Linked DNA regions of Schizosaccharomyces pombe. Changing the gene in region 2 together with the main gene of any one other region gives a genetic interaction. Each region holds a gene or a part of one and is shown on either strand. Other genes may lie near its edges.

Evidence for each region. Genes that interact genetically often act in the same process or in processes that back each other up.
Region 1: of rhp18 (region 2) and ubp2, changing one suppresses a phenotype caused by changing the other (phenotypic suppression), as found in Schizosaccharomyces pombe (one study listed by BioGRID).
Region 3: mutations in rhp18 (region 2) and cdc6 impair growth when combined (synthetic growth defect), as found in Schizosaccharomyces pombe (one study listed by BioGRID).

Annotation. Positions count from the first base shown.
Region 1 is NC_003424.3:3,484,353-3,491,599, forward strand, and holds ubp2 (ubiquitin hydrolase Ubp2), read left to right. Parts: upstream 1-2,841; 5' UTR 2,842-2,972; coding exon 2,973-6,332; intron 6,333-6,416; coding exon 6,417-6,482; 3' UTR 6,483-6,747; downstream 6,748-7,247. Other genes in the region: hrb1 (RNA-binding and mRNA export factor), read left to right, coding at 326-346, 384-713, 889-990, 1,030-1,131, 1,230-1,622, 1,704-2,150; bsd1 (heavy metal ion homeostasis protein), read right to left, coding at 7,231-7,247.
Region 2 is NC_003423.3:1,066,993-1,073,643, reverse strand, and holds rhp18 (postreplication repair E3 ubiquitin-protein ligase), read right to left. Parts: upstream 3,617-6,651; 5' UTR 3,387-3,616; coding exon 2,223-3,386; 3' UTR 2,074-2,222; downstream 1-2,073. Other genes in the region: TRAPP III complex subunit Trs8502, read left to right, coding at 217-2,073; DNAJ protein Spf31, read left to right, coding at 3,702-3,752, 3,956-4,534; mannan polymerase I complex subunit Anp1, read right to left, coding at 5,260-6,552. UniProt on the Schizosaccharomyces pombe protein: E3 RING-finger protein, member of the UBC2/RAD6 epistasis group. Associates to the E2 ubiquitin conjugating enzyme ubc2/rad6 to form the ubc2-rad18 ubiquitin ligase complex involved in postreplicative repair (PRR) of damaged DNA.
Region 3 is NC_003423.3:2,740,561-2,749,096, reverse strand, and holds cdc6 (DNA polymerase delta catalytic subunit Cdc6), read right to left. Parts: upstream 5,336-8,536; 5' UTR 5,255-5,335; coding exon 5,026-5,254; intron 4,974-5,025; coding exon 1,942-4,973; 3' UTR 1,907-1,941; coding exon of another isoform or gene 770-1,906; 3' UTR 501-769; downstream 1-500. Other genes in the region: ribonuclease H Rnh1, read left to right, coding at 1-306; hen1 (S-adenosylmethionine-dependent methyltransferase), read left to right, coding at 770-1,906; Ras guanine nucleotide exchange factor efc25, read right to left, coding at 5,932-8,536. UniProt on the Schizosaccharomyces pombe protein: Catalytic component of DNA polymerase delta (DNA polymerase III) which participates in chromosomal DNA replication.

The DNA.
Region 1 (7,247 bases), on a different chromosome or scaffold from region 2:
TTGATACAATTTATGCACAGTCTTTGAATTTTTCAAACACTTAATATTAACTGAGGTTATCTCTAACCCTAGTTATTGTTTGAGTTTCCATTTTTATTACGACTCATTTACAAACAACTAAAACTCCTTACTATGATTAATTAGTCAGTACATGTCAATATTTATAATTTAAATGTTTACAGTTTTTTTATTCTATTGTTCTTTTAGCGAATCTAAGAGTTTACAGTATATCACTTACGAAATTATATTGCAGTTACACTATAGAAGTCAAGTTGTTGGGATGCTTTAATTATGTGAAGATGCACACTCAGCTTATGCTCTTGCGATGCCTAAACCTATAGAATGGGTATGATAACTATTGATTGATTTAGCTGATCAAATAGAATGAATTTGATTCAGGAATGGGTAGTAAGTTGGATGTGTCAAGTTCCTTGAATTCATCGTCTTCCAATATGGATCGTGACAGATCGGAGTCTCCGAAGCGACATGTCAACGGAAGCAATTCATTGAAACGTGGCTTGCATTTTGATGGAGAGCACACTGAAAGAGACCCTCACTTGGGAAATGGCCAAAAGTACACTCAACAAGAGCGTCGCGTGTATGTTGGTAATTTGTCATATCAAGTTCGTTGGTTTGAGTTGAAAGAGTTTATGGGACAAGTTGGCAATGTTCTTAATTGTGAGATTTTGAATCTTCCGAATGGATTATCGAAGGTAAGTTTGCTTCATAGAGGGTGGGTTTCATGCGACTAGTAAATCATTGTCTATTTAAATTGTAACGTTGAATCGATCCAATTGAACGTTACTTTTAAACGATTACTTATGGCCTATAGCTTATCCTAAAATTTGTCGTATACTCAGATTGTGAATAGTCTAGCTAATATATCAGGGATGCGCGATAATTGAGTACTCTACTGCTGAAGAAGCGCGCACGGCAATTAAAACTCTGAGCAACCAAAAATTTATGGGCCGTCTTGTTTATATCCGTGAAGTAAGATTTTTTTTATGTCGCTTATTAACCTTCGTAAAGGATCGAGAACAAAATGCAAGATTTGGCTCCTCTTCAGTATCGCCTAGCGCGTCGTCGAATGGCAAAGATTCTGAGCCAGACAGGCAATTGTTTGTTGGTAACGTAAGTTCAATTTCTAATCCTCTATATTCTTTTCCTCGAACTTTGGTATTTTAATGAATTGTGGAATTGCAAATAAGAAATGGTACTAACGAGTATAGTTACCGTATAACGTTCGCTGGCAAGATTTAAAGGATTTGTTTAGACAAGCTGGTTCTGTTATCCGAGCTGATATCCAAATGAACCAAGAAGGCCGATCCCGTGGCATTGGGATTGTTGTCATGAGTTCGATGAAAGAAGCCATGCATGCCATTCAAATGTTGCATAACACTGATTTCATGGGCCGCACTTTAGAAGTTCGCCTAGATCGGTTTGCACATCATAAAAGTAAGCCGTATTCCACTCATGGAAATGGCTATACGTTTCCAGCGGAAATGCAAATGACTACATCATCCACCTATCTACCCATGTTAGGTGCTAATACTCAAGTCGAGGATTTAGTTTATCATGCGTATCCCCATGGACCCTGCTCGGATTGCATTTACGTTGGAAATGTATGTATATAAGGACGCTTTTGTGGGATTAGTTTTCCGCATCATTTTAAGTTTTTTTTGGAGATTACTGACTGAATATAGTTACCTTGGGCCACCTCAGATCGCAATTTATTGGACCTATTCACAGATATTGGCTCAGTCATTCGTGCCCGAATCGCCTATGAGCCCACTGGCCGATCTAAAGGTTTCGGTGTCGTTCAATTTGAGAATGAAAATGATGCAGCATCCTCAATTGAAAAATTAAATGGTTATCGTTATGGCGGGAGACCCTTGCAATTATCATACGCTCACTATGCGACTCCACTACCTGCTGTCCCTACTGTGCTCTCGGGTCTTCCTTCAGTCGCTTATACACCACCTGTTATGCATATCCCTACAACGAATTCACCACTAACGCCCCAATCTTTTACAAATTCTTTCTTAGGCTATCTACCGATTTCAATGCCCGTTGCAAACATGCCCGCTATTGCTCCTATTTCTGTAGCTTTACCCGAAAATAATATTGAACATTCTTTGGAGCCTTCTTAAAAATTCGCCAATACATCTGAACTTCTTTTCTCTTTACAATTAAGCACATTTCCGTAGTGTGAATGGCTAGCTCAGTGACGACATGCGCAATGTTCTAAGGCAGTTATCCTAATATTGTTTGCTTTTCTCTATTTTTTCTTCAAATTTTTGCTTTAATTCCTAATCCCCAAATATTCTTATTTTCCATGTTTATAGATTTATCTCTTTTGTTTGATTTCAATTTTTTGCTAAGATCTTATTCTTTTCCGTGACACACCAAAGTATGCTGATGGCATATATATTCGTCTCTCGTTCTTCTAATTGAAGTCTTTTTAATTTTAGCTTTACTGTTTTTTTACAGGATGCCTAGTTTCCTTCTTTTACAATTGCTAACCATTTCATGGTTTTAATGATATTTTAGATTTTTAGACTTCCATTCTGTTAACTTCCAGTTAACCAAGTTTAATCTTTATTGATTAACTACATTATTTTTAAAGTAAGGTGTATTTAGGTTAAAAATCTTATTTAAGCATAATGGTAAATTTCGTATAGCGAAATGTAGGTGTTGATTGTTTCTTACCTTCTTTAGTAGCCTTATCAATGAAATACAAACATTTACTTCTATCTTATTCCCCACATTCATAAAATTGATGGTCGCATACCTGGCTGGCATATGTAAGACGACAAGCATCATACGCATGAAGTCTACCTACCGAGTCCTTTACTCATGAAAAATCCTTCAATCTGTACGTTCTTTCCGTTTGGACGTTTTTTCAAGTATTTTTCATAATAAAAAATTTAAATTTCTTTATTAAAATTATTTACATCAAACTATAAAGAGGAATGGCAACTGTAAAGAACTTGCGAATTGGCAAAAGTCCTAATCGGTTGATTCAAGATTTAGACGTCTTTGATAGTCCATCAGCTGGATGGAATGATCCTTGGAGTCCTCATAGCTCAAGATATCACTGGCAGCTTCATTCAAATTTAGGCGAGTCCGCTGTATTTGACGAGAATGACTTTTGGTGTGTTTGTCAAAAAACTCGCAAACACTTACATGTGAAAGTCCGAAGAGACAGGGGGAAGCCATTAATTGAAGAGCCTGAAGAAAATTATGGAATAAAAGATAGGATTCCTGTTTACTACGAAGAAGAGGAATTACCTGAACCTCATGTGACTAGCCCTACGAAAAGTGAATTCGCTACTACCTCTACTTGTATGAAATGGAGTAGCAAAACAACAAAAAGTGAAATTGAAGTTGAATGGAGAGATAGCTATCTTGATGCTAATTGTATCAAAGAGATAATTGATTCCCGACGTCCATCATTTGCTTCCCTTTTAACTAAAAAATCGTCATCTCATCAAGGGTCATCCCATTCATCCCAACCTTCTCTTTTTACTACATTTACTTCTTTGGAGTTGTTTTTACGAAACGTGTTGGTCCATAACGATCAACGTGCCATTAGCGCTGCCCCGGAAGGAACTTTTGAGAGACATGTCGGAAAGGGCCGCCAAATTCAATCTTTGATGAAATCTCTTCTGTTTGAATATCACCACGAAAATGTAAATTATGTCCCTACCATTGCGGACGCTCCCCTTACTGACGAACAAAAACTTAATCTATACCTTGCTAGGAATGAACTTATTGTTTTGGCTAATCACTTTCGTGACACTAAAGAAGATCCGGCTATTGTTGCTAACCCTTTTCCCGTTAGGTTGGCTCGACCTGCTTTAATTAATGCCTTTGGCGTTCCTAACTATGATAGCGTGGTTCCCATGTATACCACAGTTTTTCGCGACAATTCGGCCTCCTTACCTGATGATCCTGCTTTTATAGCCTTGGGTATCACGAATGATTATCCAGACAGCTTTGTCCGTTATTTCTATGAGGAACAAAAAAAGAACGATGAAGCTAATGTTCGTGTTTATGCGGATGCGCTTGCTCATATATACAATTTACGTAAAAGCAGCTTTTTGAGAGATCTAATTGCGGCAGATAGGAAAAATGGAATCGTGTCGAGCGATGTAATACAAGCCGCTTATTCGAGTTTAGGACTTGAAGCTGAGGTAGGCCCGGATTACAGGTATAGTCAAGAAAAAATCTTTGAGGCGTTTCATTCTGCCCTCCTAAGAAAACCTGAATTTGCCAGAGCTATTAGGAACGATTTGGAGACTATTGGCTATGCAAGAAAGAGTTCTGAAATTTTAAATTATGTTTTGTCTACAGAACAGGCTTTTTATACGGTTAATGAAGCCTACCAATGGTTGGGCATTAAGTCTAACACCGAGGACGCCATGGTAGCTTCTGTGGCCTTAGTGAAATTTGAAGATGATAGCGACAAAGCCATCGAGGCCGTCAAATGGATAGCTGAAGAGAGAAATAGCTCCATTTTGTACGATTTCTTGGCTTCACAAGGTAGACCTTCCAACAAGAAGCCTAAAGAAGTGCCTATGGATGAAGATCTAGCTTACAACACATTAGGTGTTCAAGATCGTGCACTATCAGATGACGTTTTAATCAATGTATACGGCTTTGCTGTTGAAGACCACCCAGAGCAATCAGACACTTTGAGAGCAGCTTTGAAATGTATAGGAGAAGTTAGGAATTCGCGTTTAATCACTCATTATTTAGAACATGGAAATCTAGATATTCCACCAGAAGTTTCAAGTTTGGATACTCCGATCGGTTTGGAAAATACTGGTAATCTTTGTTATTTGAATTCCCTGATCCAATACTACTTTATTATAAAACCTCTTCGTAATGCAATTTTGGATATTGATGAAAACAAAGATCTTAATATGATTGAAAACAAGGAAGCTGTCAAGAAAGTTGGTGGACGGATTGTTACTCGAATTGAATTCTTGAGGGCTTTACAATTCACTTATGAACTCCGAAAATTATTTATTGAACTCATTACTTCAAAGTCATCGTCTGTTCATCCTTCTTCAGTACTGACATATCTTGCTTTAATACCTCTTACGTTGGACCAGGTCAAATCTGGAACATCCTCGGTTATGGATTTGTCATCGTCTCGAGAGTTGAGCAATTTGAATGAGAGATCTATCACTATTGACCCCAGAGCAGAAGAGCAAGCTCAAGGGCTTGAACAAGAACAAGGACAGGATGAGGCCAAAAGTCCAGCGGAACAATCTTCATCAGTTAATTTAATTGATTTTCCCATGGCCAATACTAACGGAGAGTCTCAAACACAACCTCATTACTTTGAAGTATCTGAAGAAGAAATAAACTCCTCCATGGATTTAGGTCGTCAACAAGATGTCTTGGAATGTATTGATCACGTTTTGTTTCAACTGGAAGCTTCACTTGGTCGTATTTCCAACTCAGAAGATCGTCTTGGCTCTGATAATGATCTTATACGACGTTTGTTTTCTGGCAAACTAAAACAAACACTAAATGATGCTAGTCAAGGAGTACGGTCTAACTATGAGATTTTTTCTCACTTGATCGTTGACCTTTTCGAGGAGAAACAAACATTGTATGATGCATTGGATGGTGTTTTTGAAACAGTCAATATTGATATGGGAAGCGAAACTGCCCAACGATCCTTGTGTATTACTGAGCTACCGATAATTTTGCAATTACAAATACAGCGTGTCCAATTTGACAGGACTACTGGACAGCCTTTCAAGTCTAATGCATTTGTTGAATTTGGAAAAGAACTTTCCATGGACAGATATGTTGAAGATACTGATGGGAAAATGGCACCTTTACTACAAAGGTACTGGGATCTAAAGCGTGAAATTATCAACCTTCAAAAACGACAACAGCTATTGTTAACTACAAATTCGAATCTAATGTCATCTGTTGATACATTGTCTATTCTATCTAAATGGGCTGCACAGCAGCAGGATTCGAGACTTCCTATTAATCCAAAACTTCCTGATATCCTTCAAGAGGAAATAAACAATGTTGTCGCTGAAGTGGATATGCTTAAAAAACAGGAAGCCAGCTTAAAAGAAGAAAGGACGCATCTTTTCGATAATTACATCAGCCATAGCTACGACTTGCTTGCTGTATTTGTGCATCGTGGACAGGCTTCATTCGGTCATTATTGGACTTACATTCATGATTTCGAAAACAATGTGTATCGAAAATATAATGATGAATATGTTACTGTGGTAGATGAAAGCGAAATTTTTGCTGATACTACGGGCAACAATGCTAACCCTTACATGCTTACGGTAAGTCGTTATTATTTCCCATTTGAGGGAAATAATCATTTTCTCAAATTTTTTCCAGTTTACATATAGCTAACATTTATCTAGTACATTAGGAAAGAGTATCGACACATAATTGAATGTGTTCACCGTGAACACAATCTTCTGCTTTAAAAACTATGTGAAGGGTAAAAACTAGGATGGATCATCCGTGATCAATTGCTATGAATGGAGGTTGGAAGTTGTAACGTTTTTCACGATATTAAAGCATGGAAGCTATGAATTCATATTTCAAAAATCTATTTATACATAAAAATTTAGTTATACTTTATACATCGGTACGGGTTAATAATCTATTAGTCTTTACTATAAAGAGAAAATTTTTCTATGACAAAATTGCAAAAAGTCTAGCAAAAAAATTGAAATGTAAACAAACGGCTTTTATTATTAAAATGGCGATTATCGCAAATTTTATTATAAGTAGTAATCTTTGACAAAAAATGTAATTAATAGATGAAACTAGTAGAAGTTTCCAATAAATAAGTCAATAAATCACTATAGAAGTACCATGGAAAAAACATAAAAGTAGCTGTAGAATCAATAGCAGGTTTTAAGGTAATTTGAACGAGCTTTGTACAAAAATACATCAACAGTGCCGTGAATGTGCCAAGTTATTCATCAAAGAGAGCGAAAAGTAAAATGATGCGTCGTAAAAAAAATCAGGTAGGGCAAGATTAACTAATAAACTAGGTATTTAAAACAAGGATCATCCGCCCATAAACCGAAATAGAAAAAGAGAACATGTTTAAAGAAAAAATGAAAACTATAAGGGAAATAAAATCTTAACACATAAACGAAAAAGTAAGGAGCCGATTATTTTGTAAAGTATACGGCCGCAACTAAAAGAACCTATAGATCGTGACTAAACCACTTCTTCCG
Region 2 (6,651 bases):
TATTCAATTAATTATGTAGTGACCTAGTCTGCTGTCAAATCTCGTACATCCTCTCCATATACCCTTGAGGTAGTTAACTTCTAGTCTAAAAAATTTGTTGATAAAGGTGCATTGCATGTATTCTTCACTACATCAGCTTTGTAATAAAGTCATTTAAGTGTCGGATTTCGAGTTTTTAATTGAAAAAGCTTGAATTTGACATTTACTCAGCAAAATATGGAAAGCAACCTTTCCGCCAAAGGTATTTTTCAACATGCAAGTGCTAATGCATCAGGGGAATTGTTTCAAGAGCCCGTAACAGAAGATCTTGAAAAGGTAATGCAGTCGAAAGGACTGTATTCGATGGAGGAGTTGTGTTCCATCATCCAAGAAGCATATGCTCCGCGAGTTTCGGTCCTATGTTCCCGAGATGCTGACGAGTTTGCCATGAGGAAGGGATATCCTAAGGGGTTTTGGGAATTGTTGTATCCTTTTGGAGACCGTATTCGTGGAAAGGTAAACCGTAGAGGAATGAATGGAGAAATGCTGACGTTGGAAAATTTAAATTTACATTTTGTCCCAATTGATGCTTTAGAAAGCCACTTAAGTGAAGCATCTTTTCCTTCACTTCGCTCGGTTTTATGTGAGCGATATCCAGGTCTTGTTTCACCTGAACCCCCTTCAGATTATTCCTTTGGCGTTCATTATAAAAACGTTGAACGATGGGCTTGGACATTGGCTCATGAAGGGAATTACCAAATGCCACTTCCTGTCTATGTGCGACAGTTACTAACTGGGATACCTATTACTCCTTTTGAAACTTTTTCTCATCCCGTTGCTCACCTTGTCGTAGTAACTTCGCATAATCCTAGTCCTTTTGAATCTCTCAGATCTTTGATTAATTCGATTCCCTACCTTTCCCTTCCTGCTTTCGTTTTCAATGATATAAACTACCTTTTCGTATATGTTCATGATGAAGATCAACATGATTTGGAGCTTTCAATGGCTATATTTGATACGATGAAGCAGACATTTGGAGATTGTGGATACTTTCTTCGCCTTCATTCACAAAAGGCTACCTTAGATTATGAACATACCGTTCCTTTTCCAACATCCTCTTGGTTGTCTGCTGAAGAACGTTTACACCTTTTATCTAATACGGATACTGAAATACGATTACTCTTTGAATCCGACAATGAATCACTGCGACGGTTATCTTCGCACATTGCGTTCAACGGAATTGTCTCTTATTTGGACAAATGCGTAAGAGCATGGGATGATCAATATGCTTCTCCGAGACGAGGGATTACCGGTAAGCTGTTATTTGCATCCAGAAAATATTTATCTAGTTCGAATGCTTCTACCAATTCTAACTATTTCCCCTCATCTAATGCCTATCGTCCATTTTCACCAGAGGCATATCTTAGGAAACTTGCCGACTATTCCTTCATGCTACGAGATTATTCTCATGCAAATCAGATTTATGAAATTGCATCAAGACAGTATGAAAATGATGGTGCTTGCTTATATTCTGCTGCCTCTCTAGAAATGATTGTAATAACTGAACATATTTTACACCTAAAAATGCCATATATGAGTTTGACGAACACATTGAGAATAAACGAGTATATGCAATCTGCTATGTTAAATTATTTGAATAAATCCTTCAATTCCTATTATCATGCTGCGCGCTGTTTCCTTCTCCTGGGACAATTCCTTAGTTGTTTACCAGCTCCAAAAGTGGACGATGCTGCTAACTGGAATGCAGGTTTGCTTTATTCTAAGAGATTGGGTCCTGTAGGAAGAGCAATGATCTTTCAACAAACTCACACTCTCTTTAAATCCCTTTCTTATTTAAAAACTGAATCTACGGACCCGTTCTCTAATAAGCGAACTCGTAAAGCCGCACTTTGGTGTGTATTAACTGCCGATGCTTGGTTGAGATGTCGCATTCCCTTTCGTGCCAAGCCTTTTGTAGAGGAAGCAAAATTGTTTTATGGAAAAATCGATTGGAAGGATTTGAAGGAGTGTGTTGCAGCACTTGACGAAGTCGAAGTCTCCAAACAACCTGCTTCTAATATTCCTTCTAGCTAGAAATGCCCCACTTTCAAAATGTATATTATTTTATTTACCAAATATCAAAATTTCTACAGGTTATTAATGTGATTATATATAGCGAAATAAACTAATAAGTTAATCTGATAATGAAAATTCGTTAAAACGAATCCAACGAAAATTAATGATTAGGACTGTGGTCCATCGGATCCCGTTTGTGAATTGGTAAGGTCAATAGTAAGAGGGGGACTAACTGAAGTGGCAGGAAAACCGTTAGATGTAGAAGGTTCGGTGGAAGATTCAACAGCAGTGTTCCTCAATGAATCATTTTTGTTAGTTGTTGATTGTTTTGCACGGTTGATGAGATCAGCAAAATCCTCAGCGTATGCCTTCTCCCAATCGCCCCCTCCTAGTTTTTCTTTTTCTACTCCAATTGATTTCGACTGAACGCGCTCCCAATCTATAAGTTGGCGAATTAAATTTCTTTTTGAAACAGGTTGTTTCTGGTCTAAATTAGAATTGTAAAGGGTAACCCATTTAGCATGTCGACGTTGTAATAGTTGTTTATGTCCATCGGTTGGAAGCCCCATCTCTGATAATTTGGAACGAATTTTTGATTCGGAAAGGAGTGCATAAGTTAGTTTGGGAAGCCGCACTCGATCTTTCAAGGGTAGTTCATCTGCAGAGTTAAACGACCTTAACCTGCGCTTCGTGATAGAATCATCATCTGTTTTGAATGATAGTAATGAATTAGATTTACTATTATCCTTATTTTTATAAGGTGAGGAAGAGGAAGACGGGGAAGAAGGTGAGTTAAGACAAGAATCCAAGTGTTGATTAATTTGATTATGAGGAACTAAATTTGAACATGCAGGGCAGTGAACTAAATCCTCACGTTTCCTCTTTTTAGAATCCCTAGATGTCTTTTTAGCTATAGAAGCAGGAGATGAATTTGAAGCCAAGTCGTCTTCCCATTCCTCATCGCCAGAAGCTGAATCCTGTGCGATAACTGTTTCAGGAGCTTGAAGTACTGGCTTTGGCACATTTTCTACTTTTAAGAATTCAAACAATGTTGGCCTGATCACTTTAAAGGACTCTAAAATCTCTTCTAATATAGTGTTTTTTCTTAAGCGGCTTTCTTGCTCAGGAGCACGACAAGCAGGGCACATAGGATGTTCTCTCAGATAATCGCGTATACAAAACGAACAAAAGGTGTGTGAGCAAGAAGTAATTAAGGGGGCGCGAAAGTATTCATGACAAATCAGACATCGTAAAGAAGAATCCAAGCCCTTCAACGATGGTATTTTCGTTTGGTTCCAATCAGATGGATCTGTAGCATCTAGTTCATTCATCTTATTTTAAATTGCAAACCCATTAATAGTTAATATGCACTAATATTCAAACTTAATTAGGGATTCGTAAGAGCACTCTCGGACGGTAAATTTTTAAACCTTAGACACATCGATATGTAAATGAATATGTATATTCATATACATTATTACATTTAAAGAACAAATGTAAAGAACCTGTTTCTAAACGTACTTACAGATTCTTACCCTCGATACCAGAAGTTGGCGAATGCAAAACCTAACTCACCACCAAATTTATCTATAAAGGATTTTTGAAATTTGCACTCTTGTAATTTCAATTTTGGGGCTCGGTCAGAAATGGCAGACGTTGCAAAGTTTTTAGATCGAGTTGAAGGAAGTTTAAACAGAGTAAGTTTTAGCATTTTATTGACATTGCATGTGAAGATTTCTAGATGTACCTTAGTAGGTTGATTCGATTTATCTTATTCTCAGAATTTTTTTTTTTTTTGTTTATACAGATTATATACTACAATGAAACAATAGAATAACTTTGCCTATGCGTATATTACTTGCTAATCAAACAAAGTCGATGAATTCTAACCTTTACTTAGGGACGTGAGATTGACAGAATATTGTCTTCCTTTAAATTAAATGCATATGATGTTCTTGATATTTTGCCAGGAATGAGTGTTGATGATATTCGAAATTTGTACAGGAAAAAATCATTAATGATTCATCCAGACAAAAATCGCGATAACCCAAAAGCTGCAGACGCATTCGACATTTTAAAAAAGGCGGAGTCTGATCTAGTTAATGATAAGATTCGGGAATCTCTTGATTCGGCTTACACAGCTGCAAGGAACCAACTATTGAAAGAAAAAAAATTGTCTCCAAATTCGGAAGACGTCCATTCAGACCAGTTTTTATTTGATTTAAAAGTACGTTGGCGTGAAATCCTTATTGCAGATGAAGTTGCAAGAAGACGAGCACGGCAGCTCGATTTAGCAAACCAGCAAAGAGAACAAGCGCGTCAAGATGAAATTGCAAGAGAACGAAAGCGTCGTGTAGAATCAGAAAAGGTTTGGGAAGAGACAAGAGATAATCGTGTGGGAAATTGGCAGGATTTCCTTCACAAAACGAAGAAAAATAACTTAAAAAAGAAGAATAAAAAACCAAGGGTTCTTGGATAAAAGACGAAGTTACGCGTTTTATTGTACATTAAAGCTTCGACGACTTAACCTCTTTTAGTATTTGTACATGACCTATGCGATTGAAATGATTTAATATGAAGTTTTCAACAATTTATAAATTGAAATTTCTTTTCATGCTACGTGAGCAGATTACCATTAAGTAAACTAATCAACAAATTCTACTGAAATTTGCTTTTCGACAGTGATATGTATCAGTATCGTAATAGAATTAATATGAATGCCGTTTAACCATGGTAACTGCTTTGTATATTTACAGCGTTCTATGGCATATATTCCTAATGGGTGCATGTAAAGAAAGAGAATGATTGCCCTACCCACTGTCGAATAAACAACAAACTAAAGATGTTTGTATGTACAAGGCTTTTTGGAGGAAAAAGTCCTTAAAGAGAGAATAAGACCAAGAGCTTCCTTTTTTTCCTGGCATAGCATTAAAGCGCACCAACTGAAGAAACAAGCATCATCCTAACGTGCATCCCATTATGAGTTCGTATACCAAGTTAAAAAAAAGAGGGCAGAATAACACTAAAATTACTAATTATGTCTTGATCATATGTTTAAAAGAGATAAAAAGAAATAAGAATAAAGAAAAAACGCGACCATCATTATATATGTAAGTGAAAAGGGGCAGCGATTTAAATAAAGAAGAGAGAGGACTGTAAAACATGGTTACTGTGCTCAGGAATTTTTTTACAAAGTAAGGGAGCTTAATCAACATGATCGTCTGCATGTGCCAAAGGACCTTCTTCAGCACCCTGATCATCTGGTTGCGTGAATCCAGCAGTCTGATACTTTTTAGCCTCTTCAAGCTCTGCGGCCTCCCTTTCTTTCCTTTCGCGTTCCATTTCAGCCATAATACGCTTATCATCATCGCTAGGTTCATAAATATGCCAAATAACATAGTGAGGAAGTCCGTAAACGGAAAACCCCATCCGCTTAGCCATTTTTCCAAATCCTTCGGTTTCAGCATGCTTTTCAAATGAAAATGCGGGAAACTCGCAACCTTCTAGGTGTACTTTAGCTTTAGACATAATAGATACACCACCAATACCATCCAGTGGCATTTCAACAGATGGGTCACCATTAGGATCACGAAGGTAAGCCAAATGAGGGCGCCAGGTAGCATACTCTGCGTATCCTTCTACAATAACGTCGTCTTCGCCCAAAGTATCTGCAAGCTGAAGAGCAGTCTCAGATTCAGCCCATGAATTTAAATCATATGGTTGCTCATTGCCCAACCAATCTGGTAAGGGTCTATAAACGTTAGGAACAATAATGTCTTTATCATGGCGCATAAGATCCTCCAAAATAGTGTTTGGAGCAGTCTCCACGTCAACATCTCTCCAGTAAACCCAAGAATGGTAAGGCTGTATAGCGGCTGACAAAAGCCAATTACGAGCACGAGCCATTAATTTCCTTCGGGGACCTTGTGCCGCAAATCCATGACGGTCACTGAATTCTTGACCGAAAATAGCACCGAAGTCCTTTAGCATGATAAGGACATTGTTAAAATGCTTAGATTCGTCCTCGTCATTTTGAATAGCGTCTAAATGTTGCTTCAAAACCTCGAGAGTATTATCATCAGTGTCTGAAATTAGAAAGGCAAGGTCTATAAGTTCGTGAGGATAAGTCAGGTTATTCATGTGACCAAAAAACATATTAAGATGTTCTGCAGCATTTCGAAGTGGAGCACAAATCAACACCTTTTCTTTCGGTGAATAATCTCCAGTAAATTTAGCGTTCATTACTTTTCGCAAGTCATATTCTTGCACATCAGAATTAGGAGCGTTCGCGGTAGAAGAAAAACTGGGAAATTCACCAAAAGAAGAGAAGAATGAACGATGGAAGAATAAAAATAAGACCAGTGTTAAAGCAATTATCCCAACAGTTCGAATGGTTTTCTGTCGGAATATGGGATTTCCGCTGGATTTAGGCTGGAATCGATTCGGCGTAATACTAAAAGGGCCACCATCTCTTCCAAAGTCTCTATTTGCTTTCATTGTGGAAGAGATTAACAATAAATAGCTTTATAAAGCAGTAGTGGCTACTTTACCAAAGGTACGGGGTTGGTTTAGTTTAAAGTGGTTGGTAGTATATAA
Region 3 (8,536 bases), 1.7 Mb from region 2:
GAGCAAACCAACAATCGTGCGGAATTGCAAGCCATAATCCTAGCCCTTGAAAATACATCTGGCGATTTGACCATCCGCTCTGACAGCAATTATTCCATTAAGTCACTAACCACATGGCTGCCTAAATGGAAGAAAAATGACTTTAAGACTAGCAATTCACAACCTGTAAAAAATTTGGATTTGATCAACCGCGCTTCAGATTTGATGAGTGACAGAAATGTTTCGCTAGAGTACGTGAAAGGACACAGTACCGATTACGGTAATCAACAAGCCGATATGCTTGCTCGGCGAGGAGCTTCTGAGTAAATGGTCATCTATGATGAGCGCTGTAAAAAATGGATATAGGTACATTCTTTTGAAATTTGCCGTATAATTTTCGTCTACTCTTCGCTGGTTGTATGTGCTTTTTTTGTTCTCGTTTTGCATAATGCTACATATTTTATTGTAATTAAATATCATGCTATTATAACAATTTTAAAGAGGAAATTGAAAAGTATAGATTCGGAGCTAAGATAATTTTATTATTTAACGTTGAAAATGACACTTCGCACTAGTCAACAATTCCCTTTTCAATTAAATTTGGTTCGGTGTCTTAACGGCAGTCATCGAAATCATATTGCAATGGACTTAGCAAAGAATTAATAACAATTCGCTTCGTAATGAATTTGAAAAGGCTTAAATAGTGGTTTTGAAACGAACATTCACAGTTAATAGGTAGTTATTTGACTAACGTGAAGAAAGTGTACCAAAAATACTTTGAGTTTAGACAATGGGTGTCTCTAGCTTTTACCCACCTTTGCATGTACAGCGTCGAAGGAAATTATTTAAAATACTTCAAGGAGGCTTCCCTGTGCGATCTTTGTTAGACATTGGATGTGGAGATGCTCGTTTTCTATCATATTTAGTACCTTGCAATGATCAAGTGCCTATAGAATTTCTGGCCGGTATTGATATTAACGAACAAAGTATTGAAAGAGCTACTGAGGCTTTACAGGTTAGAACCGAAGACTTTTTACAACTACGTTGGCGACCGCTACATATTGAATTATTGCTTGGTAATATTAAAGATTTTACTCATTATAAACATGTTGATGCGGTTGTAGCTTCAGAGTTTATTGAGCATTGTCAAGTTGCAGAGATTTTAGCCTTTGAAAAACTTGTTTTTGGAAACTTGAAGCCCAATGTTTGCGTAGTGTCAACTCCGAATTTTGAATTTAACACAATCTTTGAGAAACTATCAACCTTGACAAGTAGTATATCATCTCGTACTTCTACCAATTTTAGACATCCTGAACACGTTTTTGAATGGGATCGAAAAGAGTTTGCTAAATGGGCTTATAAAATTTGTAAAAGATACCCAGAGTATACTGTTGAATTTACGGGCTGTGGTTTGCTAAATGATCTAATAGATGGTGACGATTTGTTACATTTTCGCCCATCATCTACTTACGGTTTCTGCACCCAAATCGCAGTATTTCATCAATCTAAAAACAATGCTGCTTCTCATTGCTTCTTAAAAGACCAAAATTCAAGCATCCTTCTTTACAAAAAGATTACATACCCATTTATGGAGCAACTATTTCCTCCAACAGTGCAGCAATTTATGAATCTTCTGAAAAAAGCATTTTTTGATCATTTATTTGGACGTCACTGTTTACTTTTATTCCAGGTTATTGCTGGCAAGTGTGCTTTGTCAGTAAAATTACCTTTCTTGTTTATCTGGGAGTCTTCGCCTCTCATTCGACATGCCTTCCATTATGATGATTCAATTTACTTATCATATTGTCCTGAATTAAAAAAAAGCAAACATAAAGGTATAGCTTTGGCAAACTCGTTTAGTTTTCGCATTGCAAAAGTACTTAAGAAAAGTAGAATTTTTATTATAACTTTTCATCATTACGTTTGATATACACATTTAGTAATTAAAAACATCCATCTTTTTCACCAGGACATTTCATCAAATCTTTTCAGTAAGTCAACAGATTGCTGAAGTTTCTTGTGTTCTGCAATTCGCATATAAAATATGGGGCAGTCTCTACTGGTACAAATGACGTCTTGATGCATACTTCCTTGGCATCGCTGACATTGAGTCCATAAGCGAGCAAAACGAACTTCTAAATCATTCACTTGAGCAACCTGACGTTGATACAGTTCCGCCGATCTATTTAGACAATTCTCACATAAAGCAGTTTTACCTTTTTTTATGGGAGCTTTGCATCCAAGACAGGTCTCAACCTTTACTGCGAATTTCATTATTCCTCCAACACTGGGGGCTGCCATGGAAATCGTCCGAGTATGGTCACCATGAAGTAAAGAGCTAGCTTTTTCACCAAGAATAGGCTCAAAAATTCTAAGCAAAGGTTTGGAGAGTTGATTTTCCAAATAATATTTTGCATCAATAGGAATGTTATTTTCCAATACATATATAGGGTCCTCCGACCTCATATAAAATTGATCACCTTGTGCACCTTTAATAATAACGTATGCAACGCGATCTCCTATGGCTGGGGCGGAGCCAGCATCTCGTTTACGCATTCGCTCAGCCAATTCAACGTGTGCCATTTTGGCAGCATAATCAGTTTTTGATAATGCCTTTGTGATTACAAGTTGTGACATATCAATTTTGTTTTGTAACAAATCGGAAATAACTTTTTTTGTAAACAACTGTGCACCCTCTACATCCTGATCAATTAACATTTTTCTCAAAGCTGTGTCAATCACATAAGATACTAGAGGACAGTTATCTCTTCTGACAGTTTCTATTCCTTTAGAGTCCATTTTATCATAAGTATCTGTACGAGTCCAAAATAATCCTGCATAACGTTTTTTGGAAATTAAAAGATATGGAAAGTACACTTTCTCAAACTCCAGTTTAATAGGATTCGGAAACTGGTCTGAAACATAATTAGCTGCTTCCTCTCCTAATTTCATGGCTTCAGGTAACGTTTTAACGCCAAACTTAACCATAACAGAATCAGTGTCACCATAGATTACAACTGCATCGTGAGAGTATCCATTCTCAATTCTGTATCTCTTTTCTACAACATCCTTGGTTTTTTCAATCATTTGTCGACCATAAGAGGTAACAGAAGAAGAAATTGCTAAACACGGCAAACGTCCGTTGGTAGCACCAGTAAATCCATATACTGAATTAGCACTTACTTTTAAAGCTAGCTGTCTACCATCCAAAACAGCCTTTTTGAATGGGTCCGTTTCCTTTTTTAGATCTGCTTTTGCTTTCTTACGTGCATTAAGTAAATCAGCTAAGATAATAGGGAGTAGTCCTTTACGAACATGTGGTTTAACGAAATAATCTCCGTTCGGAGTCACTGAGTAGTCAACATCTTGCTTAAGTTTTAATAATTCTGCAGTATTTGAGTCAAGTAATGTCGTATAGCATAAATTATGGGCTTGCATAATCGAAGGATAAAGTGAACTAAAATCCAGTGTTGCAATAGGGGTATCATAGTATCCTTTAATCGGTTCAATGACTGTAGCACCTTCATATTGCTCATCTGTTCCATTTACACGTATATTTGGAACAACTAGGTCATGTTGAAGAGCTTTGCGAAACAATTGAGAAATAACTTTAATCTGTTGGCCTCTAGCAAGAAGAAAATTAAACGGTACACCTGTTACTCTTGCCATTTCAGTATAGTTAACAAAACACATTAATTTGTCCATTAAGCGTTGGGGTAAATATGCATCTTTCAGACAATAAATAGCTAAACGTCTTCTAGAATCGGCAGTGCCATTTTGCAAGTCAGTGATGATAGAATAGTGTACATCTTCTTTTTGCTCGCCTAGAAACTGAGAGCAGACTGCATTTAAAGAGTAAGATCGAAGCTTAAAATCACGCTGCATTACTTGTAACATATCAAGCTGCAAACGCCCAGGAATACTAGTGGTTTTGCTTTCACGAGTACCATATGCTTTACTTGAAAACGTGGTTTCCTTTGCGACAGAAAAAAAATTATGAATACGGCCAAGTAATGGGAAATTGTGAATGCGTAAGCTTTTTGCTCGATCCAAGAGGTAAGGGATATCAAAGTTGCAGATGTTGTACCCAATTAAAACATCTGGGTCAACATCACGAACAAATTTTGACCAACTTGAAAGCATTTCAGCCTGATTTTGAAATTCATATACTTGTGTTCCAACGATTTGTGAGCATGTATCAACACAAAAGACATTACGAACAAAAGGAGTGGAGTCTCCATACTGCGTTACTATACTTGCAATTTGAATTACAGGGTCAATAGAGGGATCAGGAAAAACGCCTTTGCGACCTGCGCATTCAATATCAAAGCTCATGATCCTCAGTGGGGCCATTTTAGACCACTGGCCTTCAGCTGGAAGACTGATCAAGTCTTTGTAATTAATCCAAGCTTCAATTTGACAATTAGAAACTCGATTCTGGTAACGAAATTGATATTTTGAAGCAGGAAGATGAATCCAATTCATACCAACAACATCACAGTCAATCATGAATCTAAGAAGATATTGCGTATTGCTCTCAAAAGTAGTGACACCGACACCAACAGGGAAAAGCTCTTCGAAGTTGAATTCTCCTCTTTCAAATACATTTCGTGCTCGAGATAATATACGAGGGTTAGTAGTAAAGATTTTAATGAATGGAGATTTTTCATTTCCCTGAAATCCATATAAATTTTCCTTCATCTCTATAATGCAATGATCGATCACACCCCCATTACAAGTAGCATCTAAATCTTGTGTGAAACGTTCTAGCATCTCAGGTCGAAATCCAACCGGGGCTTTAACATAAAAGTACGGAAGGAATCCCACAACATGAACAAGGATGCTGTTTCCATTGTCAGTAACACCAAACAAACGAATTGAAGGTACAGATCCTTCTGTGAACTCCTCACTATCGATTTGCTGAAAATAAATATCATCCTTCTCAGGATTTATTGCAGGTAAAGCTGGTCGTTGCCACTGCTGATCTTTTGAAGCTATCAAGGAGTCAGTATACTAATAAATGGTTAGCTATCCAAAAAACCTTACATTTTATTTCATCTTGGTCCAATTGTGAAGCGTATTCAGCCAGCTCATCCTCAAAAGATGAAGTTTTTTCTTTTGAGGATGAGCCCTTTTTATCACCATATCCATTTCTTTCGCTTAAACGTCGCCGTTTGACATCTGTAATTTCGCCATGAATTGAACCATTTCTTCGGGGAAATGGATAGTTTTCTTTATTTAACACGACGCCCTCATTTGAAGACCTATCTGTCATTCTAGTAATTAATTTTTTATTTATTATGAAAATTAGAACAGAAAATGGTAAATAAGGAAGACACCAAGCTTACATGCTCTTGGTTTTTGGTAGGAAGACGAGCAACTAAAAGGGTTTTGTAGGTAACAACAAATAGGTACTTAGGCGAATATCTTGTAGGTAAGTTCAAAGCGTACACCAATAAATTTTGGTATGAGTGTCAACTGCTGAAAAGGTAAAACCACATTAAATAGGTTAGCTGTCAAATTACGATGGAGAAAGAAATCAAATATACAAGTTTATACCAATCTCCATCAAGCTACATAAACCACTACTTAATGTATTCTTGGGCATAACAAAAGACTAATTTATTATTAATGGAAGATATTAGTAATAAAAAGGACGCAATTGTCCAAAAACAAAAAGAACTAGATTCCAAGCAATAGGAATTAAGAAAACTGAGCAGAGTCATCAGCCTACAAACCGACAATTCCGATAATTTATTCTGAGACTTTGTTTACCAACGCCTAATGAATAATACAACATCAAGGTCATGTCAGTTAAACCAATACGATAACATTAACAGTAAATACGTAAAGAGATAGATTAAAAGCTGTGTCTGAAAGACAACTAAAAGAGCGAACCCTATACGGGCTAAAACCAAAACGGGATTTTAAGAGAGGGGTAAAAAATAAGATTTAAGAAGAACGAGGTTCAAGTGAGAGTGATTTATCAAATAAATAGGACAGATCTTGGTTAACAAAGCGACACCGATGTAAAATATAGCTTTGAAGATCAGTATTAGATTGCATTTCGTAAGAGGAGGATTGGAATCGGCACACATCTGCGACGACATCGGCAAGTCGATGCCGCTTATTAAAACTTAACAGATGTGGAGATGAATCAAGAACATCGGGGTTACCTTCATCGATAAAAGTCAAGTCACTTAATATGACACCCAAAAACGGTACGCAAGGAAGTTCAGCCTTGCGAAGTAAAGCACGATAAGTACTGAAATTTTTCTTTGTTTCCACGATTTCACGTAAACCAGACAGACATATTATGTCTTCAGCTTTAACAAGTTTGTACGCTGCATGTAAACGATAAATAGGAGCAGAATTTAAGGCAGAAACAATAGACATTAGAGTGGAAAAGTTTTGGAGGGACAAGCACTTGTAGGCAGTTTGTATAAAAAAGGATATTACTGCTGTACGAGCTTTGGTATTCTTTTTCTCTAAAATACAATTGATTATCCAATAGGTGAAACAATTCGAAAAGTTTATATAATTTCGGACAGCGCTGCGAGAATCGCGACTAACCCAGCTTCTAAATATCCATTCCCTCGAAGGAATCTGCTTTAGATAATCAAACTCCAATAATGTCATCTGGGAAGCAAATTCTTCAGGAGTATAAGCATATACGTTTAAAGAAATAAAAGTAGCCATGGGAGAAGATAATAGGCGTTGGGTTAACGAATCTGGAGGCTCTTCAGTCCAGAGATTGTCAATTTCCGATAAAATTACACTGCCAATATGAAAAGATGGAACAACATGGTCACGTAAAAAGGTACGCATCTCCGAAATCAAATAAAGAGTGTTACGGGCTTTTAAATCTTCAAAAAAGTATTTTTGAACCCACAAATTCATAACGGTGCAGACGTTCTTCTTGGTAACAAAATTATCTCCCTTTTCCCAAGAACTATATGCTGTAGCATCTAATCCTGGTGGCGGTAACTCGTGAAACAGAATGACAAGAAGCGTAAACAATTCCTGGGGGGTAGTGAACGTTTTATAAGTCAAAAGAAACGAATGGCGAAAATCTTTGTTCAAGTGAACGTTCTGGACAAGGTAATGCACGAGGGCCGGTAAAGTTCCACCTTTAACATTGTTATCGCTTTGCACAACTTTATTGGTTAACAAATTATCCAGCATCAAAATTGATTGCAAAGAGTTTCTGCCAAGTGTTAAGGTATCCTTGCTCATCTCGCTAACAGCGGTAAAATCAGAACTTCTAGAAATTCTAGTAGTACCTTTGTTAGTTTGACGAGCCGGTTCGTCATCTTTTGCTGTGTTTGCATTTGAAAACTTGTTTTCAAACTCTTTTGTTGCTAATTCCTGCATCTCATCGACGAGAGCAGCACGTACTTTAAGAAAATCACAAACATTTTCAAATAAAGTTTGGAAAGCCACAGCAATGGAAGCAATCATTGTAGGCATTGTAGAAAAATCGTTTGAGTGCTCCATCATCAAGTCTTGAGATGAACAAACCAGATCAGTTAATAAATCATAACAACGTTGCTTTGTAACAAAGTAAGATTGGACTGCAAAGTTTGTAGCTTGCTCGCACTCACTTAAATCTTTATCAAAGTATATCGACATATCCCAACTTTCAAGTTTGTTGAAGATTTGTTCAGAGTGGCTAGTAATTGTGGAACAAATTTCAAAGACATACTCTTCATCGGCAAAATCAGAGAAGTTTTCAATAAATTCATCACAATTTTTCAATAAAAACCATACGCACTTGTCGAGTTCGGGTAGGCAAGGCTCAAGCAAGCGTGTTCGATATGCTGATGAAACAGCAGACAAACCATTGTTGGTCCATTTGCCCCCGAAAGGAGTATTGGGAACAAAAGAAGGGTAGTAACAAAAGCGACTAAGGTATAAACTATTATTTGCACACAGAGTAAAGAAAAATTGTAAATGGTACAGAAAATCCTCAGCGCTTTGCTGTAAGCGGGGAAAAGTGTGGTCTGGAAAAATAAAAGCACGATTCGAGAAGGTCAGTACAGTTAATCTCGAAAAGTAGGGAATTATCTTATCAAAATGTAATTTAATGGGGTTTTCAAACTCAAAGTTTTGCAAGAGATTGTGTTGGAGAAGATAAAAAGTCCCGGTCTGCTGGCAGAGATTGAAGAGTTCTTCTTGGAGAGAAAGAACGAGTGATGGAATGCTCAACGCATCTCTAGATTTTATAGCAGAAAGTAAATGAGTGAACAAATAAGAGAATTTTTCATAAAAAAGAAAGAGATTAATGACTCTGTCATTAAGGAAAAGATCATCAGAAGAAGGAAGGGGGAAAAAAGGACTATTTACGAAAGAAGAATTGGGTCGCAAGGAGGACTCGGTTTGTAGTAATGAGTTAGATGAATTTGACAAAGATGAAGAATGGTTAGTACGCACAGGACCAATCGAACATCCAGACAAGGGCAAAGAATGAACAGACGCTTGCATGTCTTCAAAGGGAGATGAGGGAGGAGTGAAATCGCTTACATAGCGAATTTCTGGAGAAGCTCGGGTATTTCCT